Linked DNA regions of Astyanax mexicanus. The protein of the gene in region 1 interacts with the protein of each later gene in a pairwise test. Links are inferred from orthologs where the notes say so. Each region holds a gene or a part of one and is shown in the gene's direction. Other genes may lie near its edges. The genes, in order: hpcal4 and fam131c.

Evidence for each region.
Region 2: the proteins of hpcal4 (region 1) and fam131c interact in binary tests that used the Homo sapiens proteins (3 or more experiments, as listed by UniProt). The two-hybrid records come from large-scale screens. The link is inferred for Astyanax mexicanus from reciprocal best matches to the Homo sapiens genes HPCAL4 and FAM131C.

The regions. Positions count from the first base shown.
Region 1 is NC_064410.1:45,218,456-45,234,273, forward strand, and holds the start of hpcal4 (hippocalcin-like protein 4), read left to right. Parts: upstream 1-9,111; 5' UTR 9,112-9,318; intron 9,319-15,818. UniProt on the Homo sapiens protein: May be involved in the calcium-dependent regulation of rhodopsin phosphorylation.
Region 2 is NC_064420.1:38,669,627-38,685,754, reverse strand, and holds the start of fam131c (protein FAM131C), read left to right. Parts: upstream 1-8,574; 5' UTR 8,575-8,894; coding exon 8,895-8,934; intron 8,935-16,128.

The DNA.
Region 1 (15,818 bases):
TCTCTAGTAAAATAGTTCTAGATATAAAAATGCATTCATAATTGCCATTGGGAAAATCATACTGGGAATTTTGGCCATAACATTTGACCTACTGAGATAGACTTACCTAGGGGGAACTGTAAAATTTAGTTTTTAAAAAAGAGGACATTGAGGACATATAGGCTTCCACTGGGATTAGCTTGTGGGGCTTCAAGTAGAACTAAGTTTGATAGGACTTCATAAATACTTACATACTTCAAAAACCATTAAAACCAAGGCATGTCTTCAAAGTATAATAATTCAACCAAAAAGTTGTGTACGTCATTTACCAACATCAACCAAACAATATTTGATTATGTTCAGCATAAATATAATAATCAACAATGCACTAATTAAACAGTGCATTGACAGCTAGCTTATAAAGTTCATTGTTCACTAATTACTGATTTTTTATCTTTCAGAAAATATTATGCACTTGGGTCCACCAGGACAAAATCTGAGCTTTTTTTTTTCATTTACAGCGACATCATGCCACTTGCTCCTACTACTTGTAGTCATTTATTGATAGTGGATGTTGAAATCTGGCCCAATGTACTTTGATTTCCTCTTCATTAACAATAATTTCCTCAGTTCCCTGGAATACAAAGAGTCAAAGCAGCGATAAGTGAAAAACAGAGCCCTTGATAAGAAAAAAAAAAATCAGTTTCCCTGTTCTAGGCAAAATCTGGTGTTTTATTTATTTTGTTGTACTTAAATTAGTATAAAACTAAAAAGTGTCTAATTAATTTATGCATTTAAAAGAAAGTAACTTATTGTATTGTCACTGTCCAATGAAAAACAAGTATCCACATTTATCAGTTTTTATTTGCTACTTAATTTGAACAAACTGTCCCTTACACTGTGTCAAATCGTCTTGATTAATGAAAAAAATGTTTTCAAAATGACCTGAAATAAGCTTTTTGACATTGACTTCCATTGAAAGCTGAGAAGGTTTTATCTATTTTCTGTAAAGTTGGTGCATTGCTTGTTTTTGAGATACATGTTTTTCATTGGACAGCGATAAATGTTTATTCATTGGAAGGCCTCTCTGACATAACAGATGTTGGTGAAGAGTTATGCAAGATATGCAAAAACTATTAGTCAGTGCTCATAATGGTTGTTATTGATTTGGCTGATTATTACAAGGTTTGTAATGACCAGTTCTCCCCTATATGTCCAACCGACTGTGGTCTGAATCAGGTATACGTTAACCTACATGCACAACATGCGCAATGCCTAATGCCAGGTGTGGATATAAAGTTTTTCAGCACTGATCTTGTGTTCTCTGGAATGATGGAACGAATACATAGAGTATTTTTGACTTAATTTGATTTAAGTCAAAAAAGCTCATTTGTGTTTAGATTAAATTGTAGGCTTTGGTCAATCAGCTGTGTTGGTGCTCCATCAATATTTTTGGTATTGTATTTGGAGTTAGGGAGTTGGGGTCTTTGACATAACTAATATAATCTATTTTTCTAAATGCAATCAGACCGTCATAGTTTTACTAGTAAGTGTATTAAAAGTCTCTGTCTTGGGCAGTAGAGACAGTTACTCTGACAAAAGCAGGATAAACAATGACTAGGCAAATCTCAATACCGTTGTCCACAAAGTGTACTTCAAGTTTAAATCTTACATAAATAAGAGATTGGTTTAAGTGAACATTATCTGTCGCAGGCTTAAACGATTTTAGTCTTAATTTCATTAGTCTGTTCTAAACGACCTTCCTTCACAACCCCTAACCAGGCTCATTTTCTAAAGCAACCTTTTTATCATGGCCTGCACGAAATGGTAAACCGTGACCCCAGCCGAGGGGTCAGAGGCAGACATTTGTCCTAATTTGATTAAATGGCCTCTGATATAAGAAGGAAATAAAATGTTCAGTTCTTCAAAAGGTCAGAATATGAAGGGATGCAAATCTGTGGCGAGCTGCCAGTCAGTCTTTTCTATTCTTTTTTTTTTTTGGCTCGTCTGATCCGACACAGTCGCTAAAACTCACACCTCTCTCATTGATCCAGACCGAGCGTTCCTGTTTCCTGCTCAAGTGTGTACGCAGTCCCACAACCGCTTAATTATTACCACACATAATTAGTCGGCAGAACAGATTCCCCCTCTCTAGACGCTAATTAACTTGTTTTCTCTATAATGGAGGGCTGTGCAGTGGGAGCTGCAGAGAAGGGGTGGGGGATGGAGGGTGGTGGTGGTGGGGGGTGAAGAGGTGCCCTTTGAAACGGACGGAAAGGTCGTTTACACTGTAGAAGAGCGCCTCCTTGTTATGGTATGTTATGAATTCAGACAGTGTGCATGAATGCATGTGAAACATAAGGCTTTCCTGAGGCTGCGGCTCTCTCTCTGTGGGATTGGGGAGGCGTAGGCTGATGGGAAGGGCCCAGTAAAAGAAGACTGCTTACATTACAGTCCCATATATAAAACCACTCTGAGCACTGAGATACAATTACTCCATCAATTCATGGCATAAGCTGATGTTTTTTTTGCCACCATACATTTTACACCATAAAAAAGGCTCTGATTACAGAAAGTACTTCACATTAACTAAATTGAGTTAATTAGCTCACATTTTGGTCAACAAAAAACACTTAAAGCTAAGTCGAGTTAAGAACAAGTATTCCCATCTGCAGGTTAGGACCCCTCCTTATTCCCAAGCACATTCTCAAATGCTTAAACAGGGACACAGAACTTAGAACCCCCTGTGTCTTAACCAGTGTGTAGTTAAACTGTTGCTCTTCACATACACAATACTGTATGTCCAAACATGCAATGGCTTCTATGTTAGGTTGCAACCATTGCTGATGCAGATGTGTAAATGTACACCCAACCTGTCTTGTCCCTGTAGAGAAGTAATGTAAAAAAAACACACACACACAATCTGGACGCATACATTTTAACCTACAGACTGTAATAAGCATTTAACAAATTAAGGGTAAATTATTAGAAAATTAATTAGGAAAACAGATTAAATCATTCTAAAAACATGTAAGCAAATTTAGCTTTGAGACATTACTAATTTTGAGTCTGAATTCAAAATGTATTGTTGACGACACTGAGAGGCATAACCATAGTGGTGTAAAAAAGTGTAACGGGGGTCACGTCAGTGCAAAGAATTATGACCCAAAGTTCTGGGGATCTTTAAGATGTTTTTTTGGCAAATGTGAGATGGGCCGTTGTGTTCTTTTTGGTCAGCAGTGTTTTTTGCCTTGGAACTCTCCCATGGATTCCATTTTCTCCAAGTCTCTTTCTTACTATTAAATCATTAACACTGTTCTTAACTGAGGCAAGTGAGAGTTATTTAAATGTTGTTCTAGGTTCTTTTGTGACCTCCTGGATGAGTTGTCCATGCCCTTTTGGAATATTTTTGGTCGGCCGGCCACTCCTGAGAAGGTTCGTCAGTGTTCCGTGGTTTGTGAATGATAGCTTTCACTGTGATCTGCTAGAGTCTCAAAGAAATGACTCCTTTTCAAGTGACTGACAGATGATCAATGACTTTGTTTTCTCATCTATTTTTGAATTTTATTTGTTTCACGTTGTCAGACAGGTTTTTTCCTTAATAAATGAAATCATCATTTAAAAAGTGCACTTTAAATGTAATCAGGTTATATGTGTCTGGAAGGAAGGCTCAAAATGAAGCATAACACTGCATGTTTCTGTATAACTATGATGATATTTTGACAAGTATGCTTCAAAAGTGACATATTTATTCGAGTAGCAGTTCTTAAGATTTTTCTTTTAAATTAAAAGTAGCAGTGTTCCTACTGAGTGGGGAGATGGCAAACATTTTTTTAAGAAATGGCATCAATATCCTTCTGCTTCCATTCCTGAAAAGTCACATATATTGTTTAAAAAACAGGGAAGGCCATAGGGCCATTTTTGGTAACAACAGCTTTTTCTGTTTACCTGAGTTACCTGGTACTGCCAAGGATGCAGCTAGAAGAGCTGTTGAAAACACAGAGATATCAGAACAGCAAACAATGTCTTCATCTTCTTATTCATACCCTGAATGGCCAAAGTAAAGTATGATTAGAACTGATGAGAACTGGTGAAAGAGAGTGTAAAGTATTATTTGATTTTCATTGTTCTCATATCTATAGCATGCAATCAGTTACCTTGTAGACTGTATTTTGACATTTTTCCTCTGGTTCAAAAGTAGAGCTGGTACAAGAATCAAAATTATTTTATGTACATTTGTTCCTGAGCCTTATGAAACAGCCCCTAATAACACTTTTTCCTATATAATTGGAGGTCCTTTTTTGAGCAAAGCTTCCAATATCAGTTAGCATAAGTTTTTACCCTTTTTACATTTTTTCTGCATGTTCTTTTAATGTCATTGTGTTTAGCTACAGAATAATTTAGATTTTTTTAAATTTAGAGTGAGCAATAATAAAAATTAAGACTGTTACATAACAGTTTGGGTGTTTTGGAATTGGTGTGTTTTACAGCTTTGTTTTACTTATGCGGGTTTTCTTTTTAAAGGAGGACACAAGATTATTTGAGGTTCATGGTATTTAATTATTTCAATATAAATACATTTTCTTTCATTCCAGGGCACCTTTATGTCAGTCAAGAAAAATGAAAACGTAACATTCTGTAGTACACAAGAAAGACAGAGAGCCCTAGAGAGAGAGAGACTTGAGCATGTGGCAGCTTTCTAATTCTTATCAGCCCCTGGTGTTCTACATGTCCAGCAGGAGGGGAGGACAAAACACCCCCCTACACACAATTGATTGTGACAATAACCCACAGTGAGGCACAACTGTCAGCCTGTGTTTCTGAAAAAGCAGACGCTCAACAGACCCCAGACTGAGACATTACTGACCACCCGTGACGCACCACTTTAGAACTTCCTAGGTGCGCTTAAATCGCCTGACTCACCTCCGCTGTCTGAAGAAGGACGAGAGCATGCAGAGACATGTGGACATAACATGTGTGCTGATGTGTCCGTTAACCCCTTCCAGCTTCTTTCATCACTGCAGAATCAGACCATGCACCAATTACACGCTTCCAGATGATAAGTGATTGGCAGGGTTACTAAGTGGACGGTCCAGCAGAGCTGTGACGCACAATCTGTAGAGTGAGATATCATGTGAGAACACTTATGTCAACTGCCATTAAAATGATTGGCCATCTTCAGAAGATTTCAGATACATTAGCATGTTTCCTCTGATGCACAGCTTGCTAAGTAGTGATCGCGGTATAATCTCATTAATGACACACTTTAGTTTTCAACCAGAGTATAGAGGTAACATGAAAATATAAAGTATAAAAATATATATACATTTCAGTTTGTTAGATATTAGAAGACCAATAGACATGGTTTGGGTTTTAAATCCATATAGTTTATCTATGACAATAGATAAAACAAATAGACAATTCCAACTTTTATGTAATAATAACGTAATAATGTAATATGCAACAATGTAACCAAAGAACATAGTGCTAACTGTAGATTTCCAGTATCAAATGTTACTTTTCTAAAATGGAAGGGTTTTATTTAAAAAGCAATGTCCAATTTTGCTCCATTGAATTTAGAGCTGCAACTAACAATTATTTTGATAATCAATTAATCAGTTGATATTTTTTCTGATTAATCAATTATTAATTGAATAAAAAGGGAAAAAGGCAAGGTTTTATTTGCAGTATTTTATTTAATAAACCAAACTGTTTTTGTACTAATGTTTAATTGAATAAGGAACACAAAACCTACCATTATTAAAACTAATGGTGTTTAAATGAATAATTAACCTGAGATTTACATTAATTGTATTATTATCATTATCTAATAACACAACAACAGTGTATGTAATGTAAATTTACACTAGATTGTGTTTCTTAAACACTTCCACGCGACACCAGAGTCAGAAAATATCTTTAAAAAGGATGTAACTGTTGCCACTTATGTGTATTTATGTGTGTAATAACTTATATTCTTCTTATGTGTAGAATAACATAGACCCAACCAATTGATTATGGAATTAGTTGTCAACTATTTTAATAATAGATTTTAATCAATTAGTTGTTGCAGCTTAATTGTGTTGTATATATTTTAAATACTACATAAAAAATGTGTACCAGTATAGACCAGACAAATTGTCCAATTCCTGCTTGTTTAAAATATATACCTTTTAAAATCAGATTAAAAACATATACCAGTACGAATCAGCTTTGCATGAAACCAGTAAAAAACAAGATATGCCCAAATATCACAGTTAAAATGTTTCTGTTTTAAAATCTGCTTACAAACATACAAGAGAAGACAAGTTTATCTACAGTATACTTGTCTATTCTGGTCTTGCTTTAAATGGAAGTATACCAGTCAATAGCAATGAAAGCTGATATGCTGGTCATAAATAAGACCATTATACTGTTGCTGTTACACAAAAAAAAATATTTTTCTACTTTTTTGTCAGCCATTTTGGCTAAACCAGCACAGACCAGCATGAACTGTCATAAACAAGCTCAGAGCAGCTTAAACCAACATGGAACAAATGTTGGTGTAAACTGTGCTGTTGTTGTTTTAGCAGGGTGTGTATGTGTGTATTTACAGAAAGGATCTTGGAGATTTCGATTCTTGGAGTTAACGAACATTGTAGTTCCAGTGCTTAAGAGACTACATTTCAGCACTAAACATCTCTCTAATAAAAATGTCTAATGATGGCTGATGGGTTGTATTTGGGTGGAAAATGGTGTAATAAATGTGTTAATACTTTATTTTAAATGAACTTTTCTTTTAAGTGTCTTTTAAGTGTATATCTGGTAACACTATAATCCACTAATGGATTTCTTGCTCCTGGGAGAGTGGTCTCTACTTCCTCTCATCTTTTAGAATCCAGCATCCACACAGCTCACTGCTGCTATTTTTATAACAGGTTGTGGGTGTGTGGCCAAACCAGTTTCCATGCAAATAACTTAAATTATAAAACATCCAGATAAAGCTACTTTTCTGACTGGCTACCTGCTGTCTGCAGCTGCTAACCAATGGGAGGCCTGTTCCACTGGGATTTCACACTGAATGAGGATCAAGACTGAAAATTATTACATCTGATCCTAATGTTTCTTTTTGAGAACTGATGAAAACCTGAACACTGGGTGTTTCCATCTCTTACAAACAACAACAACAACAAGAAGAAAACAGCAATAAGACAGGTTTTAGCAATTACCAACCACTCTTGTCCTTTGTTATTGAGATCAGAGTATCTCAATTTAACCAGTATATCTGGTTGGCAAGTGAGTGCCACAAAAATCAAAAGAAAAACAACATTGTCACAAAAACAAATTTACTTTACACATGAAATATATATATATTTATATATTTATATATATATATTTTAGCTCGGATGTCAGAATATTCAAGTAAGAACTGTTAACTTTCAATTTCTATGTATTCCTGTGCCAATAAATCAGTCATACAACGATAACCTGACATAAAACGTGGAATATATTGTATTAATGTGCCACATTCACACTTTAAATGATTAACAAACCAGTTGTGGTAAACTCCAAAACCTTTTACGAACTGTTTTTTTAATGAAGTGTTTTTGAAATTATCTGAATCTTTAACTGAAATGCCTCAGCTCAAATAAATAGAAAGCAGCATATGTACATTAAAACAAGACATTTTGTTTTAATGTACATATTTTGTCAGATTGGCTGCGACCTGTGAAAGGCATTTCAACAATAGCGGTGCTCTTTATTTTGAAAAAAAAAAAAAAAAATACTGTGGCATAAAAAGGGCAGTAGTCATACAAAGCCAAAAAATCATGTTTTTTTGTGCTTTATGGAGCAAACTGTTCATATTTTATCAATGTTTTTTTTAAACACAGTGTTCAAATTGTAAACAGACCTTCGGTTTAGAGTATTTGGTCCTCTTGATTTAAACAAGTCAGTGTATGAGTGGATATAGATGGCAAAGATGGCCGCCTAATGAACTGACTTGCATTGGTGTACATTTTTTAATTCTCCTGGCTATTTGGATAAGTATGACCTAACAAGTGTAAAAACAAAACATTGTCTTTGTACAGGAAGTCGTTTTTGCAAAAACAATCTGCTCATGTGGGGACAGTAGTTGATTTTATTTTATTTAAAATGTATGCTTATCATTTTGGATCAGAAAATCCCAGTTAGTCCAAAAACAAAATGTTAGCTTTCTACAGAAAGTAAATATTTTTTTTAAGCATAAAATTGGATGAGAATTTTTACCTGGACCATTTTCTTTCCTGCCTGGCTGTAGGAATTTGGACTGGGATTCCCACCATTTTGTTTTCAATCAATTTAGAGTAATGTTGTCATGTGACTACAGTGTCTCTATATGAGGCCAAAGCATCAATGTTTTAAAAAATGAAGTATCATGGTGCAGAGAAGCAAAAATGTAATGTAGCCATATGAGAATGCAGTGTCTCAAGAGGTTAAAGTAGTAGAGGTGATTGGAAAACATTTATATATTTACTCAATCAAAAAATGACAGTGCAGTCAAATTGTTTAATGCACACAAACATAATCATCATTAAAAAAAACAAATGAAAACATTTTTACAGTGCCAGTAAAAAACACAAATTGATAGTAGCTTAACTAAAAAAACTGTCAAAAAAGTAAGCAGTAAAGCAATGCCTTAGATATTATTTAATGCTAATAACGAATGAAAAACCAATTGGAACTGCTTCTATTTTTTTTAATTCTTTTTTGTTTGCCATTCCCTGTAGAAGAACAACACAGTGTTTCCAGTTCCATAAGGAGCAAAACAACAAAACTAATTAAGTAAGAGACATTATAAAACGTGAAACATAAAAGTGTTTAATTAGCATAATTGAATCTAATCGTGTCAGTTACCTTCATTATAATGAGCGCACATCAAAAGTGTCATCTGGTTTCCGCAGAATGATTTTTATCTCTTTAAAAATTAACAAACCTGTCTTTAGCATTATTTATTTTTATTTTTCATTTCCCACCTCTAATAGCTTCAAGCCCCGCCCTCATCCTTTTTTCCCATTGGCTAAGGCTTTGATTCCTTCTGGATGAACAGCCAATCACAGCGCAGAGGGCGTGGCCTGTGTGTGAACGGGTGGGTACGGGATATCAACACGGTGAGGGAGATGCGGGCGCTCCATTCACTCTCGCTGTGACTGAGGAGGAGGAATCAGCAGCAGGTCCAGGGCTTTTCTCCGGGAAACAGCCCGCTGGTCTTCAGCCGCTGAGAGGATAACACACTTGTGTGAATCACACACTCAAAACACACACACACAACACACACACATACATCAAAGACCGGCTACCTCACCAGAAAGAAATACTTGGGTGAGTCATCCCTGCTTCTACTTTCCGCTGTCCTAGTTTTTTTTCCTTATTTCTTCCATTGTTTAATGTGTGTTTACTGTGTGATGCTATTATGCTGTAGTGTAGCCAGTAAATATACATATAATCATATAAATATACAGCTATTAAAATGAGCTAATCTAGAGAAAGAGTGAACTATGAGCTCCTGTTATAAAACCAGCCTTATTATATTATCTCCTTTATAATATCTTTTTTTTCTCCAGTTTATTATCAGCTGCTTTTTCTATGGTGTAAAAGAAACCAATGCACATATAATGCAGCTCTGTCAGCAAATGAGATTATGAGATTCTGCAGATAGATTGTAATTGAGTTTATAGCAGCTATGAGTTTATATAGAGCCTATGTATAGCCAAGACATGCATGCCATACGAATTAGACATAAGAGCACTGTCACAGAGTGAGTCTTGTGCCAGTTTGGGTATAGCTAGTTTGCCTTGCTATACTGAGGAATTATACATAATGTGATAAAGCCTTAAGAGTGAGGTGAAAGTCTGTCTGCAGCCACTTTGATATGTGATGCTCATGTTGCTGCCTGACTGGTTGGCAGTGGATGTGCGTCAGTGTTGTGTCTGCATTGCTCTGTGTTTATGTTCAGCTACAGTACTTCTGCATGTGTGTTGTGCGCTTCATGAGGACCCCCAGTCCTTATGATGACAGGAAAACAAGACAGTATGATGGGTTCTCACAAGCCATCATGCTGTTTTTACCACATATGTGACTAAATGCAAGTGGAAAGTGGAAGTAGAATTAAATGGTTTCAAAGATGTAGTTACATCAGTGTGTGTGTGTGTATATGTGTGTGTACATGTTTTTGCACACGTTGTATGGAAGACTATTATTTTCTGACCACCCTGTCTTAGGTGATAAAAGTGAAAAAGTGTGCTGCACAGTGTGTGTGTGTGTGTGTGTGTGTAGCAGTGATTGACTGCACCTGTCATTAGTACAAGGCTATGAGTGGCTGTACACTCAAGAAAGAGTGAAATCGCAAAGGTTTTTCTCCACTTCCTTAAAGAATACCTAAGGGCTTTGTCCCATGAAGAGTTTTGTGTAAAAAGAAAGCAGTAAAGGTGAACATTTACAGTTAAAACACTCCTGAAAAAGAACTAATGGAAACACAAAGTACAGCATATTGGGCTTGGCGTAGCAAGTGTCCGAAATTAAATCTGGTGCTAAAAAGATGATGTGCTAGAAGTGCTGGAAGACAGTAAGAGCTTAGGAAAAAATATATAAAACTCTGTAAAATACTATTTTAGGATTCAGCAATGTAAAGTAACACTTTAGCCCTATCCGGACTGGATTAGTTTCTCATGGGGATGTCTGTGTAAAATATTTCACACTTCTACTCAGTGATAAAACTCTTGCATCTGGACTGTAATTGAAAAAAAAGGACTGTGGATCAGGATCAGTGACTTTTTAGGCTTTCTCGGTCATATGAAATCGCGTTCAGTAGCTCCTCCATTTCCACTCACTGTTGTGTTTACACAGATCTTTGTGGAAATGCGTGCTCAAAGTGTAATTACGCTGTGTGGCAGTGGATAAATAGCTATTGTATTAAACACGAGGAGACAAAACTCAGAGATGTGAGTCTGGAAGGGACTAAAATTACCGGAGGACCATGGAGTTCAGCGACAATTCAGGCTGTAATTTTCTCAGAGCTAAAGAGAAAATTACCCCAGGACCCCCTGAAAAACTGTAATGTTTAAAGTTGCCTTGCGGAACTAAATTCTAAAGACATACATATATACAGATCAAATACACTAAATTTCTACATTGCAATGATGAAGAAAATCAACATTTTGAGGAAAATAATAGTCTGATTGGGTGAAAAGTGAAAATGCTGTATTTTATTTTGAGCTGTTTACAGTGAGTATGCATGTTTACTCCAGAACATAATGATGTCATTTTGGAAGCCTAAAGCCAATGTACAGCAAGATTATAAATTGACAATTTGACAGCACGCCAACTATGGCATTGTAGTTTGTTTGATATCAAATTTGTTAAAGTCTAAGATGAAAAAAAGAAAGGAATCTATAACCAGTGCACTGACATTTTATTGTCTACATAATTACCATAAATAGATATAAAACCAATTGAAAAAAAAAAGTCTGACTTTAATCTAAAAATCCATTTGAATTATTCAAACCAAAAATAAAATAATACACAAATCTGTTCATTATAATGATCAATGTATGTTCTGCATCGTATACTGCACTGTTTATCATCAGTGGTGAAGATGAGGAAAGTAGATTTCAAACCAAATTTCTTTCTGAATTTATTTTATATTTTTCCAAGAGTTCTCTGGTATTGCCCTGGATAGAACTGTCACTACTGTTAAAAGTCACAAATCCATTTTTCAGTACTAATGAGAACCATTTTGCTTACAGAGAAGCCAAATTCCAACCACTTGCTAGGTGTTCCTCATCATACATATATTATACATATATATGATGCTTCTAAGCTAGGAGGATGGAGGCTAGTTCTTCTCCTCACATTAAGCTGAACATGCTTGGAGGAGAATACTTAATACCAATTCTGTTACAATAGGTAACAGATGAACACACTAAGATTCCACCAAGTGTAAAGCTAGTTTTGTTGTGTTGTTTACACAACCATGGATGGCTATCCTATTAACAAAGCTCCAGTCTCCTAATGATAATGCCACTGCTCATGGCATTTTTCCACTGCATGGTGCCTACACTACTCTGCTTTTTATACCTGGTTAATTGTCCACTTTCATAACTTAACTTTAGAATGTAGCTGGGGGCGTTGCAGCTCTTGCAGGATTCTTTTGTTAGCGACCAATCCAAGGAATGTTTATACTGCTTCAAAAGACCAGGATGTAATTTCACAAGCTGCTTACGTGAACACTGTTGATGCTTGGAGATATCACAAATGGGTAGTTTGCGCTAGGTGTCTGCATAGATGTTGTACAGTGTTTACAGTGAGAATTATTTCTGGCCAATCAGTGCTCTGCAGAGTTTACATGTCCAGTTTTAGTCCCAGTTCAACTTCATTGTAATCAGAAATGAGGTACCAGGTAGCATATTTGCTAAATGTAAAAGCAAAGAACTGAGTAGTGAAGGTACCATGCAATGAAAAGTGCCATTAAATGGTTGCAACACCACCCAGAAGCAACTGTATGTATTTTTTTAAACTAAAAGCACAAAGAGTTGCATTTCCAGAGTGGCTGACCATACCCTGCTGGAATGTGCAGTGGAGTACATGCCTGAGTGTATTCCCACACTGGTTAAAGTAGGTCTAAGCACTGTTTCTGCTGACTAGAAGCAGGAGATGGGTGATAAGCACCAGCTGTATACATTGAATCTCACCCACGCACAGAAAAAAACTCATTCTGGCAGCTCGTGGGCATCGCCAGTCCTCCATTTTGTCCCAGAAAACGGCGTCCAGGCAGCGCCAGGTGTTGTAGCCCTCTCATGCGGAGCCAACTGATTGATTACCCACATGCTCCGTTTCTCATGTAGATGGATGGCAGATTCAACATGGCTGCACTCAAAAAGCTGCAGACAGTCAGTGGCTCTTCAGCAGCACTAATCAAACAGCCCGGGGGGAATTTGATGGATGAAAAACAACAAAGGCATTTGTGAATTGAAGAACAAATGAGGGCCCATTTTTCCCCCGCTCCTCTGATAGCAGCCTGTTGATATTCTCTTCTACTCATCTAATAGGAACCACAGGCTTTTTTTTTTTCACCCTCTCGCTTTGCTCTACTGCCTGTTTTGAATGTGAATGAGAGGCGAGAGCTCTGTCACAATGGGCAAGATGCTGTCAAATACATTTAGCAGCTGGAGTCATCGCACGCTGCCCTGGGCTGTGTTTGGACATCAGAGGTAAATTGTTCATGTGCTTGCCTAACATGTTACAGTACACAGATCTGACGAAGCCTGACACAAAGGATGACATAACTATTGCAGAGGAATAGGACTCATCGTTGGCATGGCTGCTCTCGCTGTGTCTCAGCACACAACGTACCAGGTGGTATTTCCACTGTGGCAGTGGGTGGCTTTTGACTGCCCTTCTATTTACAGTGTATTGATCTTGACAGAATCTGATCTGGTGTTGAAAGGGTCACACAGAGATCATTTCACATCATTTCATATCTACACACATGAGGTGTCCATTTTCAGTATATATACTGTATATAATTATGAGCCATGCTAAGGAGGTACTGTATTTTATGTGATTTACTGATTGAATCCACAGTTTGAGTCCAGTAAGAATCTCCAGTTTGTCTGAGAGTCATACTTCCAGAGGGAATTGCTTTCTGTAACTGGCTAAATCCAGCACTCTTCTAATAGACCCAGCTGGGTGCTGCGTTGTTTTTGTAATTGAGTGTGGCGTCCATAGCGTATCACTGATGAGGACCTGACTGCTGTCACTTGGAAACAATATGTGTAGGCCACAATTTGTTTTAAGTTTTATAAGACATACAGATGTAGCTAAACTTTTGATGTGATTGAAATGTGTTGTACATTGTACACAATTTGCAGATACTCCAAAACTGCAGTCATGGAACATGGGGTTGGTGGGTTCCAGGTGGGCGCAGTCACTAAATGGGTTTGTACATGTTTTTTTCTTTCCGTTTTTCCATTATTACCTTAATCTCACGTGGGTCCCATCAAGGATCTAGGCCTAATGTGCAGTGTAAAGTTTTGGTCACTGAAGACTGAAGACAATAGAAGAAAAATAGTTAAGATTAAATTTTTCTGTTGTCTTAGGCTTTTTGTCATATTTTTCTGTCTAGATCTCAAATAGCACATTATTCATTATATACTAAACTACATAAGGCATTGTGTAATTTTTGTTTAAACCTGTCATACATGCTACTGCAAGCATTTTCATATCTGTGGATGGAAATATTATCAAAACGAACAGAAGGAAATTGGATTAAAAACATTGAGAGTTGTAGTCTTTAGTCAAAGTATAAGGAATATAAGGAAACTTGATTCTAATGTAGCACAGTGGTAATGTAATATGCTGGCCTGCATATTAGATGTTTACTTAGTCCTAATTGCATTTCTTAAGGCCCTGAGTCTGAACTCCTTGCTTAAGGTCTTCTTAGGCATCAGGTGCAGTGCACCTGTTGACTTGGATGTAGAGAAATCTCTGTTTTGCTAACCAATGTTTATCTGTATTGTTTGGAAGTAGACTCTTGTGGATATTAGTTTTGCATTCTAGAAGGTTTTGTAGAATTAATCATAAAAGTCATATCTGTTAATATTACAGTTTGTGTTCTATTGCTCTTAAACATTTTTTTTATATTAAATGCAAATGGATATTGCAAATATTTATAATTATTCAAACATCTATAATATACCTTTGTTATGCTGATCATGAACTGTCAAGTCTTATCTTTTTTTATTTTTTTAAGCTATATATCATATGCATTATCTGTTAGGACCATAGAACCAATTACAGTTTTGCTCATTACTGTCAGCCTCAGAGGCACATGTAGATGATCCAGTGCCAGTTGTCACCCATGGGGACTAAGTTGTTGTGATGCAAGGTTTCCTACACTATATTTATTTTTGCCAGGATAGCCCCATGAGCTGGTGGAGTTGGCACTGTTGTTTTTATCATGTACCTTTGAGATGCAAGGAAGATAACACAGTTATTTAGTTAGAAATTTAGATGAAACGGAAAGATACTAACGCTACTAAAGATCAACAGCAGTAATGCCCTATAAATGCAGCACACTTATCTGTATCAGCTGATAATTTTGTTAAACTGTAACTAATCTATATTTCATATAAAAGCATAGGACAGTTCCTGAGAACTTGACTGTTTCTGAAGAAGTGTGTAGGTCACAACTGAAGGCTGTTGTTCTTGGGCTTAAGAGTAAAGAACCCAGATCCTGTAGTTGCTCTGTGGGAACTGTTCCTGTAGATATTTATGAATTAAGGATGATGTGGACAAAAGTATTGCTTTTGTTAGAGTAACTAAGTGGAAAGTCTTTTTACTAGATTTTAGATGGAGCGCCATTATTTCAGAGAACACAGTTCCACTACTCTACAGCTTAATGCTGGGGGGCTTTAAACCCCTTGAGCCCATGCCTGGCATTAAGTATAGTACGAATATGCTTTATGATTATCCTCTCCAGGGGGTGCTATAATATTGGCAGTACTTCTTTACTGGCAGTAGACAAGCTGTATGTGTGTATTTGCACATTTTTGTCAGCATTGGGTGAAACTTAAAGTAGCTTAATGGATGTATTATGAAGGGTGTCCAGAGACATTTGGACATATAGTGAACATATCATCAGATATTTAAACTGATTAAGAATTGACAGAGCCATAGTATGTGAAACTTAACAAACTATGAACATTAAACCATGTTGTTTTCTCCTTCAAAAAAAAACAGGACTGTAGAATGGGAAAACCCAAATCCATTTTTTTACACAAATTTTTGCCATTTTCTCCCCAGTTTACACTGCCTATTACCCA
Region 2 (16,128 bases), on another chromosome or scaffold:
TGGAATACTCATCAAATCTAACATCCACTTAGAAACCACTCGGGATACCATAGCAACTGACAAGCAACCACCTCATCAACAAACTCATAAAACACTTACCAACAACATTGGAACCATCTGGAATACCATAGCAACAACAATACAGCCATTCTGAGCTTTCTTTAAAAGATATCATATCTGGATTCACCACAGAATCTAGATACCATCTACCTGTTACATTCTATTTGTGCAAGTAAATAAATAAATAAATAAATATAAAATAAAATAAATAATACCATAGCAGCCACATGTAAATGCCATATCAACTATTTAGCAACATAATAGGAACCTCCTAGCAACACCATAGCACCCAGCTAGAAAACCACAGGTACCAGTCACATGTAGCCTGACAATTGCCTGAAATCTACGCAACCATTCTGTGTTTCACATGTTTTAGTGTAGCTTAGTGTCTTGATTATTCACAAAATTCCCTGTGTTCAGTGTAACTAAGCAGTTCTTGTGCTTGGGGCTAAAGAAATTGATGGTGTTACTGTGTAATTGTGCACAACAGTGCTGTACCTGGACGTGGTCCATATGTGTAACTAATAAAACATTCCCACTGATTCACCTCCTCAGCTAATCACAAAGCTTTCAATACCTGTTCTGTCACAGCAGGAATACAGTAAAGTGTGAAGTGCGGAGGTGTAGTGAACATGTCCGGGCTAACTTCTGTATACATTCATACTTTAGGCAACACATTTACTGCACAGCGGATTCAGTATCATTTCCCCATATTACTTCCAGTCATCTACAGAAAAGAGCAGATCTGCTTTATGCTCTAACTGTGTATGATTATTAATTTCAGCAGGCTTACCTGTAAGCTTTGAAGAGCACTCATTTGTAAGAGGAATGTTAATGCTTCTTCACCACGTTGGCTCCTCAAAGAACAGCTGCAAAGGATAGAAAAGTACAAAATTAGACCTGAATAAGGAATGAAGACATTTCCGAGGCTCATCAGACAGAAAATGGTTTTAAAACCATCTCTGAGTTTAGACTCCATCAATCCACAGTCAGACAGATTGTGTACATATTAAATACTATTATAAAGACTATTATAACCCTCTTGACCAACATAACATGTTGAACAATCTTTGTTTTTAGATCATTTGAGAGTTGTTTTGATGAGCCCATGATGCCACTCTTCAGAGGAGATTCAAATAGGAGAACAACTTGCAATTGTCCACCTTAAATACCTTTTCTCATGATTGGATACACCTGGCTATGAAGTTCAAAGCTCAATGAGGTTACCAAACCAATTTTGTGCTTCAGTAAGTCAGTAAAAAGTAGTTAGGAGTATTCAAATCAATAAAATGATAAGGGTGCCCATATTTTGCACCGGTCAAATTGTGGTTTAACGCATATTGCACATTTTCTGTTAGTACAATAAACCTCATTTCAATCGTGAAATATTACTGTGTCCATCAGTTATTAGATATATCAAACTGAAATGGCTGTTGCAAACACCCAAATATTTAGAATTAAAAATTATTAAGATTAATAGGGGTGCCCAAACTTTCTCGCATGACTGTAGATTATGCCAAGAGCAAGGCACTTAATAGACTGCATTTTCACAAAGGAACCCAAGGTAACTTCTAAGCAACTGAAGGCCATTCTTACATTTGCTAATTTAAATGTTCATAAGCCCACCATCAAGAGAACATGGCAGGAATGCAAGAAGAAAGTAGCTGCTTTCCGAAACAGACAATTATAGGATCGTATTGACACACAAAAAGATTATTGTAACAATGGTTTGTCATGTTTTGTGGATGAGACCACAATACATATTTTTTGTGTTTAACTGAGAAGTTTATGTAAAATGGATTCAGTATCACACCCTCTATATTACTTTAAGTCTCAGAAGTAGTACAGAGGATTTTGAGGATATGTATGATTATTAAAAAACGAATAGGATTATTCACTTCAGTGAATTTACCTGTAAGATTTGAAGAGCACTCATTTGTAGGAGGAATGCTGATGCCTCTTCTCCACGTTGGGTCCTTAAAGAACAGCTGCAATAGATAGAAAAGTCCAAAATTAGATCCAAGTAAGGAATGAAGAGATTTTCGAGGCTCATCAGGCAAAAAATTGCCAAAAAAAATATAAAAAATTAGGATCTTATGGACACAGAAGACTATTGTAACAATGATTTAGGGATGAGACCAAACATCTATTTTGTTTAACTGAAAAGTGTTATGCAAAACAGATTCAGTATCATATCCTCTTTATCACTTCAAGTCTTCGAAAGGAAAAAGTAGATCTGCTTTATCCTCTAAATGTGTATGATTATTATTTTAAGTGGGTTTACCTATAAGCTTTGAAGAGCACTCATTTGTAAGAGGAATGTTAATGCTTCTACACCACTTTGGCTTCTCAAAGTATAGCTCTTTGCTGTGGAAAGAAAGGTACAGAATTAGATCAAAATGTGGAATGCGCCACCTGTTAATCATTCTGCATGGATTATTTCTAATATTCTACTGCCCCTACACAGGATATGATTAATCACTATGCTCAGCTATAAGTATACAGTGAAAAGGAAGTTAATGAGTGATCGCTGGGGTGACTTAAAGGTGGTTTTCATTACACAGCCCACCGTCAGCGACACGGGCCTGCAATTAACATGATGAATCACGTCAGCTCGGATTATGTATAAGTGTTCATGCAGACGGTCAATTACAAAACCGTAGCTGTGTATTTACTCTTCTCTGTTCTCTAATTTCCGCTCATCACCCACACTGTCCCATCAGCTTAAACATCAAGTGAGATCAAGTTCTCACATTACCAACCACAATTCAAGCCCTCCATGAAAGCACGCAATCACCCTGCTCCTCTATAGAAGCTACCTGTACTCTATGTAAAATGCTGCATGGTATGAGGGGGCTGTGCTGGTTACCTTTTATGACAGCAGATGTTAAATAAATTTCATGCCGGCTTGTGATTTCACGCATTGCCCAGGGGATTTCTGCTCACAGTGATACGGCCTCTCGGCCCATAAATTCCTGTGGTGTTACTCTATCTGCCGAGGTGGATCACTTTTAATTTCTGTTTTGGTTTCAGCACCTATCACTTCCCTTGTTTCCCAGCAGGATTTTTTTTATTTGCTTTGTTCACTGACATTCTTCTAAATGGAAATACAGCATACCATCTTCACAGATTCGGAAGAATGAAGACAAAAGCTAAAATGCATGGATTCCCGATGCCACAGATAACTTTTCTCAGAAATGATTGTGTAATAATATTGTACGGCACCTCTATGCAAGAAAAAAAAAAACATTACTTGTTGAAAACAAACATTTTCCTGGCACCCTTTTCCAAATTTTTTTTTCAGAAGTAGAAAAAAAAAAGAACCAAACCAAATGACACAAAAATATCCAGTATTACATCTATGAGTGGCAAAAGTGTATAAAACCCTTAGAATTAGAAGCTGATCTGAAGGTGAAATTATGGCTTAACAATGAGGTGTGAGCGGGCAGAGTGTTGTTTTATTTAAAGAACAGGAATGTATTACCATCTAAAAAAAAAAACACTGAAAAAAAAAAATCAAGAAATGTATCTGGTAGCAAAATCCAAAGATAACATGGGCCGTGCAGCAAGACAATGACCCTTAGAACACAAGTAGTTCTACGAAAAAAATGCCAAAAATGTCAAAGTGCTGACCTTAATCCAGTAGAGATGGTGGAAGGACCTGAAGTGACTTACTGTGAGAAAACCCACCAACAGAGCTGAAATTGTCCCTCGCTATCTTTAAGAAACTCCTGAAGACAGAGCTCTCTTCAAAGACCACTTACTTGTGTAACACCTCTAACAAACTAACTACTTCTAACGTCATTTCCTTCTTCACCTCCTTTCCTCCTCTATCCCACTATTTTCCTTTGACCTCCTTTAGGCCCTGTCTAAAAAAAATTTTTTTACCTTAAACTTCTATTACTAAATGTACATCAGTCGCTTTGGACAAAAGCGTCTGCCAAATGTTATATAATGTAATGAAATTGTTTTTATGGAGGAAAATTGGAGGTCTAAAATTTCTCCAAGCTGATGTGCAGAACTACTTAACATTTACCAGAAATGTTTAATTGCAGTTATTGCTGAAAAACAGGTTACCAGTTACTACAGGCAAAGGTTCACATAGTTTTACCACTCAAAGATGTGTAATATAGGATATTTTTCTCAATAAATGACTTGAGTTAAATATTTTGTCCATTTGTTTAATTTGGTTCCCCTTATCTAATTTTAGGACTGAAAATCTTAAAATAGATTATTCAAATGGGTTCACAAATATTTAAGCAGCACTGTGCATTTGAATCATATAAATCACAGATACATAGAGGTAGATGAATGTAGAGCTCAAGGACTCTTATTGGTCCTTTTATTCAGTGTGGTAAGCAGCCGCCCAGCTCAGCCAAAGTATTAATACCTAGTCTGCCACAGGTAAGGCCGTGATGCTACCCACCAAACTACCCCAACCAAATGAAGTGAAATGAAAAGAGTGTGTGGGAATGGGCAGAGAAAGAGAGTGGAAAGAGTCTATTAGTAGTTAAACACAGAATGGAATTTTAGCATGTGCCCACAAAACACACAGACACAGAGTAGAGTAGTGTGTGTATGTGTATTTATGTGTGTATGTGTGTGAGAGAGAGTGTGAAAGAGAAATAGGCCCTATTAAGACATATCCAAACCAAAATGATGGCATTAAGATACTTCTTAAAAATGTTAGAACTGTGCTTGCTTTCTTTCACCACAGAGTGTCAGCTTTCCCTCAAAACACATTACAGCTCCTCTCGCCCTCTCCTACTCACAGTCTGTAGGTTAGCCGAGGCTAGCAGCACTAGCAGCTAAATGACAGGCTGTAACTTTAGCATTAAAGTGAGGCCTAGGTCATTTAGGTCATTTTTCTTTGCTTTGTTGAAGAGTGTATCATAACAAACTGAACCTAAATTAATTATCAATAGGACATCCTCACATAGCTAACATACACATAGCTTTACATATAGCTAGTACACTTTAATTGGTAAGGTTCTACAATACAACTCAAATAATATCACAGTTTTACCTCATAAATTCATAAACATTAACACAAACATTTTAGTTTTTAAATCTTTAAACAAGCCCATGCTCCATGAGAAGAGCCCGTCTTCACAAAGGTGTAGCAACGTAAGGATTTTTCCAATTGCTTACTAATTACTAGTACTAACTAGTTTTTGAGTATGAAGTACGCAGGTTAGAATACATAACATGTAAAAGCTGAGTATACTCAGCACACTGGTTTATTTTTTTTATTTATAACTCGCTCTCCAGCTTTATGCCATCTTATAGTTACCTGATCCATGATTTCTAAGAACAACAGTAATTATCAGACTCACTGATTTTACTGAACTGGGAAAATCTGCTGTTAGCTTCAGAGCACCAGAGATTCACTACAGGAATCTCTAAAACTCAGCTTCCTGCTGTCGCTAAATCATTCATTCATAATTTTAGTTAACTACAAACTACCTTCAGACAGCCTGTAATCTTTTTTATTTGTTTAATTTCTAAATCATCATTTTATTTTACATTTTGACCTATTTGAACTATTTAATTTATTTGTACTCTTCAATATTTATTATAATCTTAGTGTTATTTTAGTTACTTAATATCTTTTGCCTTCTATTTTTATTTATTTGTGCTTTTTTTACTCTTACTCTTTAACTTAACTCGTATTTGACTGCTTTAATATTTAGTCTGTCCATTCTTTTAAATTAAATCTAAGTTGCATGTTTGACTTGTTTTTTGTTTTGCCATTCACTTTTTATTGTTTTGTTCATGAAGTTTAACCTGATTAAAAACTATTTAATTGTACCTTTTTAAATCTTAGTTAGTTTTAGTTACTTCATTTTTTGTCTTCTATTATTTTTTGTGTTTGTTGATTTGTATTATTTTAATTATTTAACGTTAACTCTTAACTTGACTGCTTTAATTTTTAACCTGTTTACTCTTCTTTTATTTTGAATTACTTTAATTCTTCTCAATTAAATCTTAATTGTTTGGTGTGGTTTTTTTTTCAATACTTTTGCCATTTAATTTGTACTATTTTGTTCATAAAGCTCCTTAATTTAGCTAACCACAGTTTAAACTGGGCCATGCTGTTTATATTCAGTAATTTATAGAGCTGACCACGCTAACTAGTTAATGCTCTTGTGGCTGAATACAATTAATCCTCACAGCAATGTTCTCACAACTTGTGTAAAGCTTACCCAGTAGTCTGGAGGGAGTTCTCATTAATATAATTCCAGTACAGAGAAAGAATAGACGCTGTGTTAGATTAACGCTGCTTGAAAAAATTACAAACTACTCAAAGTTTGAATTAGTAAAGAGTCGGTTCGGTAAACTGAATCGAATCCGTGACTCATTAGTTGAGAGGTGCCTGGAGCTGGAGAGCGCGGTTGCTAGGCAACAGGGTGTCGAGGCGCTCGCGCTGTGAAAACAGAGCAGTGTTTGTGTTAGAGATTAAACTGAGTTTTAGGGAAACTCGTCTGACAATACTTTCGATTTGAAGCCTCAAGCTCAGACAAGAGCAGTTTATGAGCGTCTACACACTGAGAACGTGTGAAATAAAGGAATGTTTAGGTTAAAATTAGCCAAATGTGTTTACTGTGTGATGCAGGGGTGATGAGTACTGAGCAAACAATAAGAATAAATGTAAAACAAATACAGTACCAGTCAAATGTATGAGCACAATCTTCTCATTCAATGTTTTATTTATTTAACTCATTCATTTATTTATTATTTTATCAAAAAAAAAGTTGGTCAGGTTTAGGTTCAGCAACAGTATGTGCTGAAAAAATGAGGTCAGCTGACTACCTGAATATACTGAATATAGACCAGGTTATTCCATCAGTGGATTTTTTCTTCCCTGATGACACAAGCATATTCCAAGATGACAATGCCAGAATTCATGGGGCTGGAATTGTGAAAGAGTGGTTCAGGAAGCATGAGATCATCATTTTCACATATGGATTGAGAGTTCACCACAGAGTCCAGATCTTAACCTCATTGAGAATCTTTGGGATGTGCTGGAGGCTTTGTGCGGAGGTCAGACTCTACCATCATCAATGCTGCAAGATCTTGGTAAAAAAAATTAATGCAACACTGGATTGAAGTAAATCTTGTTACATTGCAGAAGCTTATTGAAACAATGCCACAGTGAATGCGTGATGCAATCAAGGCTAAAGATGTTCCAACCAAATATTAAAATGTGTGAGTGTATTATACCTCCTTTTACACAAGTTAGATTAGGTCTATGTGCTATAAAAACATGTTTACTCGAACATAAAGATATCTCACCAGCTCTATTCTTGCCTGTATTTTAGTCCCTTTTAGAATAAGTATTTTAAAGGAAAAACTTGTGTGAAATGGACTTGGGCTGTAGTGAAACATAATAATGAGTACAAACTATTGTCGAATAACCCACCTTTGTTTACCCCCAGGATTCTGAAATACAGCAAACTTACAATGCTTGAGATAGCATAGCAGTACCCATGCAAGATAATCTCCATTATTACACCAATAACAAGTTAAAAAATTCTCCACACTTCATTGGTAGAATTCTGAGAGCCCTGACATTTAAAACGAGGCACTAAGAACTTTGAAAGTGAACAAATATTTAATTAAAAACATTTGACTGATGAGCATGACAAAATAGGTAAGATAGGGGAGCAGACAAAAACTAAAAAAAGTTATTTAAAGTGATAACGTTCCTCTGTATATGTTATGATATGTTTATTGAGACTAAACCTTAAAAAGGTATTGTTAAATGGTATTTATTTAAATTTAAACAATTGTTCTGCAGATACAAAAAACACATTATTTTGATACTGACCTTCAGTGCTGATTACACAATGTTGAAAAACGTATTAAAACATACATTTAAATGAACTAAATTAATTAAAATGAACCCTACAGCACTATGAGAAGTTTGAGCATCCTTAAGAAGGTGTGATTTGTTGTGTTCTCGTGTGTCTGCACCTTGCTAATAGAGCACTAGAGGGAAGCAGAGAGCTGTCAGTTCTTCATTCACTTTTCAAAGTGTTTTTAAGGTAATGATATTTAGATTGTGTCTCTATTAGGATTTGATTTATTCATGTCTTGTTTTATGAAATCATTTGATTATTATTTATCATATTTATTTTGACGTAGACATGATCATTTAATAATTTAATTTGTTGCAATCTTAAGTTGCAGCAAACATCTTACAGCTTACAGTGAAAGATCATCATTATTGTATTATTGTATGAGGGCTCAATGTTCCCCAGTCCTGTTTCATTCACAATAACATCCAAAAGTGCTGCTGCCTTCTGTCTCTTGTTTTTCCTTCCTACTTCACACCATCCATCTTTTACAGTTCACTACATGTGTGAAGAGGTTGTAGTTTTCAGTGAGAGTGAGCAAAGGGTGTGAAGGTTGGGGGGTAGAGGGAGAACGGAGCAGAGAGGGAGAGAGGGAGAGGGGGAGGAGAAAGGAGGAGTGTAAGGGAGGGACATGGAGCAAGCAGGCAATGTGTGCTCATGTTTTCTTTCCCCTCTCTCTCTCTCTCTCTCTTTCTCTCTCTCTGTGTCTCCCTATCTGTCTATCTATCGCCTACACCCCCCTCCACTCTTTCAGCCCCACAGATGGCAGGAAGTGCTTCGCTCTATCTGAGACATCAAGTTCTTTCTTTTCTCCCTGACAAATTCCTGCTTATTTCTCAGCTTTTCTTTATTTTACTGCTTTTTTCCTCCCCCTTTCCAGAAGACCCCCATCTCTGAAGCTCTCTCACTCATCCCTGATCTTCCCCCTCTCATCCTCTCCTCCTTCAGCATGGTGAACAGATAACTACCTGGCTGATGGTCACCATGGGCGCCTGCCTCTGCAAAGGTCACCAAGGTCAGTTCCTATCTCACTGACTTGTCTGTCTGTCTGTCAGTCTTTGTCACTGCTCTGTCTGCTTGTCTTTACACGACTCCTGTGGTCTGATCGTCTAACTGTCTGCCTGTTTAATCGTCTCTAAGTTTGTTATTCTGCTGGCATAGTTGCCTGCCTGAGAATCTATGTAATTATCCTGTCTGCTTCTCTGAGTTTGGACTTTTTTGGTCTCTCTTAAGGGTTAATAACAGAAGGCTATGTCAGAATGCCTGTCTATGTATGTCTGTTTTTATCAGATTGTCACACACAGATGGTTATATTGGCATCCTCATTGATACTGTTTACTAGGGGTGGGAATCGATTACTATCTCACGATTCGATTCGATTCCGATTTTGGGGGCCACGATTCGATTCAAAATCGATTTTTGATTCAAAACGATTTGAATTATAAATATTTCTGCTTCTGGCTTATGAATCGTATTGAAAAAAAACCCTCCATAATATACACTGGTCCTGGAGCAAGTAATGTGTTACAAAAACAATAAAATGTGCAGGAATGTGGGTCCTCAGTGACAGAGGAATCACTGGGATATCACAATGACGTTAATGAACAATAAATACATAAATAAATAACACTGCTTTATTACCAGGCTACTAGCGGTGGTGTGTAGGTGACGCTGCTGGGCTGATGTGATGATAGCATTGGAGCGCTAAAGTTCAGGAGCAGCTGCTGATTAACTAGTTAATTTAAGGTGGTTGTATTTCTTCAGAAAGGGGGCAGGAGGTGGAGAAATTAATTCATATTGTCCATTCCTTAATTCCTCTGTGATGAGGAGCTGAAATTAGCTCTGATTAGCTTATTGTTATTTTTCCGTTCCGCCTTAAATGCTGCAGCCCGCTGCCACCTGTAGCGTTATTTAAGGTGGAACTGGAAAGTTAGCTAGTTAGCTAGCTAACAGTTACTGAAACTAACTACTAGCGATCTTTTTTATGCTTGTTATGAAGCATTCTGCCATAAAACATTGAAACTACACGTTAATCTAAGGTAATATAGTGCTTGTTCTGCCATCTTACCGGCGATTCTCAAACACCTACGCTCTGTGTGGGTCTGGGAGATCTCCGTTTGAAGGGACAAGCGCTATCCCCAGGGTTGCCAGGTCCAACAAAAATACCCAGCCCAAAATCAGTCTAAAACCCGCCCCTCAGAATCGATTTTGGGACATTTTAAATCGATTCTGAATCGTAGTAAATGAGAATCAAGATTCTTATGTGAATCGATTTTTTGGCACACCTCTACTGTTTACACTGTTGACTCAGTGTGGATACTAGAGGTGTTAGAACATATCAGTCTATATATAATCAATAATATCTATCAAAATATTGCAGTTTTTTTTGCATTACTGTATCGATTGGTGTAAAGATGGGTGTTAGACAGTAGTTAATTTAGTGTTGTTTTTAAACCCCGCCCACTAGATTATAGAGTGTAGATAGTGTTGTACTCTGTCATCCCACTGTTCTGATTGGATACAAAGTAAAAACTTTTTTAAACTCTGATTTTTTAAAGATCATGTTTTTTTTTAACTATAAGAGTTTTCCTAACATTTTATATAATCAATAACAATGTTTCACTTTGCTTACAGTATCATAATATATTGTAATATAATGGATCATAACCGCTTAATTGTAATGCAAATCTTATCGCAGAGTTCACGCCAAGTTCATGCCAATACACAACCGGAGGTTCTTCAAGGTTTCTTTTAGTAAATTAGTTTGATATAGACCACTGAGTGCATTTACATGCACGTCAGTAACCTGATCAATGATTTGATTTATTTCTCATTGAACTTGGGAAATCAGATGATGGGAAAACTTTAAATGTAATGGGCGGGGAAATAATCAGATTTTTGCTTTGCAAGCAGCCAATAAACTCACATAATAAGAAGCTGAGCTTAGCAATATGATAATATCTTATTGTATTATGATACATTTGACAAAATATACACATTTCTGAGTATATGGTAATTAATTGATCAGTAGTTGAAAATTGTTCAACTTCTTCAGTTTTAGCGTCGCTCAGAATGTGTTTGTTGCCATCTTGCGGGTGCTGTGGCTGTGGTCTGTTTTCGTGCATGCACAGACTGAGACATCCGAGAGTACACAGGTTAAGAGTCTGCACTGAGAAATTAAATTACTGAGCTAAATTCTAAGAAATGGAAGTAAGCTATACCTATATGACTACTTGAATAATCAAATAACTACAGTAATCCATTTATAATCAGATTATGATCCCTGCTAAAAACAAAATCCAGGTCAAGGACAGCTGGTCATCCAGAAAAAACATACCCTATGCTGGTCAGGAGGTTCTCAACGAGCTAGCCAACTAGCAAAGGGTATGTTTTTTTCAGCAATTGTATAGCAGGGATGTGCTTGTAAATGCATTAAATGACAACTAAAAAAAACATTTAAATTATTAAAATCTTCTTGAAAACCTGCTGAATATAGTTAAATGTGGCTCTATATATATAGCAATAGCAATACAGAGTTTCCATAATATTATATATTATACCAACCGGACAAATACAATCTAGTTAAGGAAAAAAAGCTTCCAGGAAGAACCTTCCAATGTCTGCCTTTGTAAATAGGCAGTTTTGTAAATGAGATGAGTGACCTTTTTAAACTTTAACGAACCTTGACATAATGTGACGTCTGCATCAATTAAAACTTGTTCTGTCGGCCAGACGTCCAAGGCGAGAAGCGTTTAGGAAACCCAAGAGTGTTCTTAATTACGGATTAACAGCAGAGCGGCGGTCCACTGTTTCATTTGTGTCAATCACAACAGGAAGGGGTTGGAGACATGCTGAACTCATTTTCATGTTCATGGAGCCAGATACTGACCAATCCATTATCATGCTGGAAATATCCATTAGAAGATGGGCAAACAGTGGTCATAAAGAGACGCTCAATATTCTATTGCATTAAAGCAATGTTTGATTTGGATTAACAGGCCCAAAATGCTTCAAGTAAACAGTCCCCACACAAACACATCACCTTTATCAGCCTGGACTGTTGACACAAGGCAGGTGGAGTCCATGGATTTAAAATGTTGACACCAAAGTATGATCCTACCACATGTCAGTGTATACGGAAATAAATGGATGTTTATCAGATATACGATATTGGAGATAACATATCAGATATCAGCATTGCCCAACAATTTCCATATCAGAACTCATACGTGTAGAGTACAATTTACACACAGACATGGACAAACTCACAGACAGATAGACAGACAACAACACCTTCTGTGAAAAATGAGGTTGATTTTTTTTGTTTGGAAAAAACATGAGATTTGAAAGATCTAATATTTGAAAGGCAATGTAAACATGTCACCCACATGACGGAAAAAGAAGAGAAGGCTCTGTAAATCCTGTATGGCTATAACTGTCATCATCTGTCTTCTCCTGTCAAAGTTAAATTGCATGGAAAAGCAGAGATGACAGGTTTGCAGGATGGGATCATCATGTTGCTTCATGCTAGTGAGAAGTGTTACAGTGGCTGGCAGTGATAGCGTCTGAATATGCCACCCCAGAGGCAGTTGTTTTAAAGCATTTACTCTCGTTTTGCAGCACTTCAGAGTTTTCTGCGCTTCGACCTCCTGTACTGAAAGACTTGACTGCACTGATTAGTGCAGCCAATTTAACATGCAGAAAGAAAAAGTGACTGGTTTTACATGTTGAACTCCCTCAGCCAGCCTGCACTGTTGAAACCAGACAGCTTGGGTGCAAATTTCATGCTGTTGGCATCAAATTCTGAACCTAATCTAATGTTATCAGACCAGGCTACGTTTTTCTATACTTTAGCTGTCGAAAATTGGTGGGTCTGTGCCCACTGCAGCCTCAGCTTTCTGTTCATTGTTCACTTGATTCAAACTGAGACAGCTACTTTTGTTTGGACTACAAAACCGTCACCTTTAATGCTTCTATTTTGGTCCAAACTAACTAAAAGGTTTGAACCAAAGGTATGTAAAAGCAATGGAAGTGATGTATCTACTAGATTTGATATACATATATGTATGTGTAAAAATTCTCTCCATTTTGGAAAAGCACTTCCAATGTCAGCTTATTTTCTTTGTTAGACCATTCTGAATAAATTCCAAAGATTTTTGCCTGAAAATCTCAGATGATCAGTAATTATAGCAATACTCAAACCAGTCCTTCTGGCGCCAACAATTATGCCACGCTCAATTTCATCCCTGACAACACATCACTGTTGCTTGATGTTAGTGAGAAGTGTTACAGTGGCTGGCAGCGATATATGTTTTAGAGCATTCACTCTCATTTTGCAGCACTTCAGGGTCTTTTGCTCTCCGACCTCTTGTACTGAAAGACTTGACTGTCCTGATTAATGATTAGTGCTGCCAATTTAACATGCAGAAAGAAAAAGTGACTTGTTTTACATGCCTAGAAATCAAGAGTTATCAGACCAGGCTACGTTTTCCTAGATTTTAACTGTCCAAAATTGGTGGGTCTGTGCCCACTGCAGCCTTAGCTGAACGGCTGAAAGGCTCGACTGCCTGATTAATGAGTGCCGCCAATTTAACATGCAGAAGGGAAGGACTTGTTTTGGATGTTTAACTGGTGCAGTATGTTGCGATGGCGGAGCTCCCAGAGGATGAGATATAGGTGAAGTCTCTCCGGGCTTCTGACTTTATTAGAGAGAGTATAGAGAGAGAGAGAGAGAGGAAGAGGAAGAGAAAAAAGAGAAAGCCCTCTGTTCTCATCTCTGTGCATCAGGTGGAGATCCTCTGGAGAGATAAGAAAGGAAGAGAGATCAGAGTAGTAGAGGCTCAGTGTGGGCAATATGATGATTACTGTGATATATTTTGTTACAGTTTCCTTTCATGAGTGAATTGTGGGATTTGTTTCACTAAAACTACAATAGTGAATGTAAACAAGATTCACTATATAGAATAGAATAGAAGAAATAATGAATGAATAATGAATGTCAGCCTTTTACATCATCTTTAATGTTCAATTATATTTAAATTTATATATTTATATATATTTATATAATATATAATTTATTCAGCTCTGGAAAAGAGTGTTTTATTCCGTAAACTATGGACAACATTTCTCCCAAATTCCACATAAAAATATTGTCATTTAGAGCATTTATTTGCAGAAATGAGAAATGGCTTAAATAACAAAAAAGATGCAGAGCTTTCAGACCTCAAATAATGCAAAGAAATCAAGTTCATATTCATGTTCATGATTTCAGAGTTTAGAAAACATCTTGCATGTTTTCCTCCACCAGTCTTACACACTGCTTTTGGATAACTTTATGCTGCTTTACTCCTGGTGCAAATATTCAAAAGCAGTTCAGTTTGGTTTAATGACTTGTGATCATCCATCTTCCTCTTGATTATATTCCAGAGATTTTCAATTTGGTAAAATTAAAGAAACTCATCATTTTTAAGTGGTCTCTTAATTTTTTCCAGAGCTGCATATACATTATATGCATTAATATATCATTCTACTCACACTATGCCTGTTTGCCCATAAACCTTTTAATGTCACCCACCTTGTAGGAACATTAGATAGAATTCAAGCAACACAACCCCTAGCTATGAAGAGGTGGTGAATACAACACTGAATCGATTTTCCCTTTGAGGTCCCCCTTTTATTCCCGGCCATGAACACAAAGCACACCTCTAGGATCTCCTTTATGGAGAGGCTTATCATCTTATCATGTTCCTCTCATACTCCACAAATCGGTGGCTATAGCAGATGTGTCTGTTCCTAGTGCGCATCACACTACCCTGTCTGAAGGGAATGTGTTAGCATTTTACTCTGGTGCTGCCCACTACCAAAATCCTGTTCTTAATACTAAAAAGTTAAACCTATAAATAAAACTGTTGCTGTGAAAATAGTTAAGTGTATTTACACTATGGTAGGTTCTTTGTAATGAGCTCCTTTGAGTTTATCAGTCACCACCTGTGTTAGGTTTCACACTGTAGTTTAGTACGCATTAGTGCGTTGGAGGGTGGGGTAGTAATGTTTATGTTTGTGCTTTTATTGCTGTATATAGCGAATGGGGGGAGGGGGGGGGGGTGTTAGATTTCAGCACAACAAGACCCTGTCTGAGCTTCCTGTAATAAGTCCAAAAGTACAAACTGTATTTTCACACTCACACTTTTGATCAGACCACAAAACCTGCACCTTTGATGCCTAAAGTTTGAACCAAAGGTATTTGAAAGTTCATTTCATTTAATTGATTTAATTGATTTAATTGATTCATTTGATTAGTGATATACACTATTTTTTGTGTAATAATTCTCTCTATTTGGAAAAGCCATACCAATGCATAAACTGCCATCTTCCCTCTTATTTTAGCCAAACAATAAGATAAGATGATGTGAGATGAAATGAGATGAGATGGGGTGGAATAATTGGTTGCTAAAGAGTCTTTTATACAGATCAATTGGAGATCAGTGCAAACACACACATACACACACACACACACACACACACACAGTTTCACTGCCTTTAAAGCAGTTTTTTTCTCCTCAAGGCACCTTATACTCATATGCTGATGCCATTGCAAATGTAATCCTTATTTTATTATGTTTTACATATTTTACTATTTTTATATAGTGAGAAAAGGTAAAGGAGAAAAAAAATCAACTAATGCTCATTTAAAAGTCCAAGCTCAAAAGGACATCGCATCACATAACATCTACAGATGTGATACGACAGGGTCTGGCGTTTCAACCTTATGGTACCTCTGCATGAAAATGGCAGGGAGCACATGCTCTGATAATACAGTATCTGACTCTCTTAACCCTTTCACGTCCTCTACAAGACAAAAAACAATGGACTATTTGTAATAGGGCATATTTAATGTTCAGGACAAAATATCCCATAGTTTTTAAGATATACATCCTATATATACATTTAGATGGCACTTAAACCACATCATAACCAGAACAAGAATTCTGCAAAAATGAAATAATGATAGATACATAATTACATTCATTAAAATTGTGTATTTTATTTGATTAGCCTAACATATCTCTAGAGGCGACACAATCAGGTTAAGTTCAACACCTTCTTTAAAAAGATATAGGTCCACAGATATGCTCTACCAATCTAGTTAAGACCTGGCTGGTTAATTTGTCTGTGTGTCTGTGTGTGTGTGTGTGTGTTTATGTGTGTG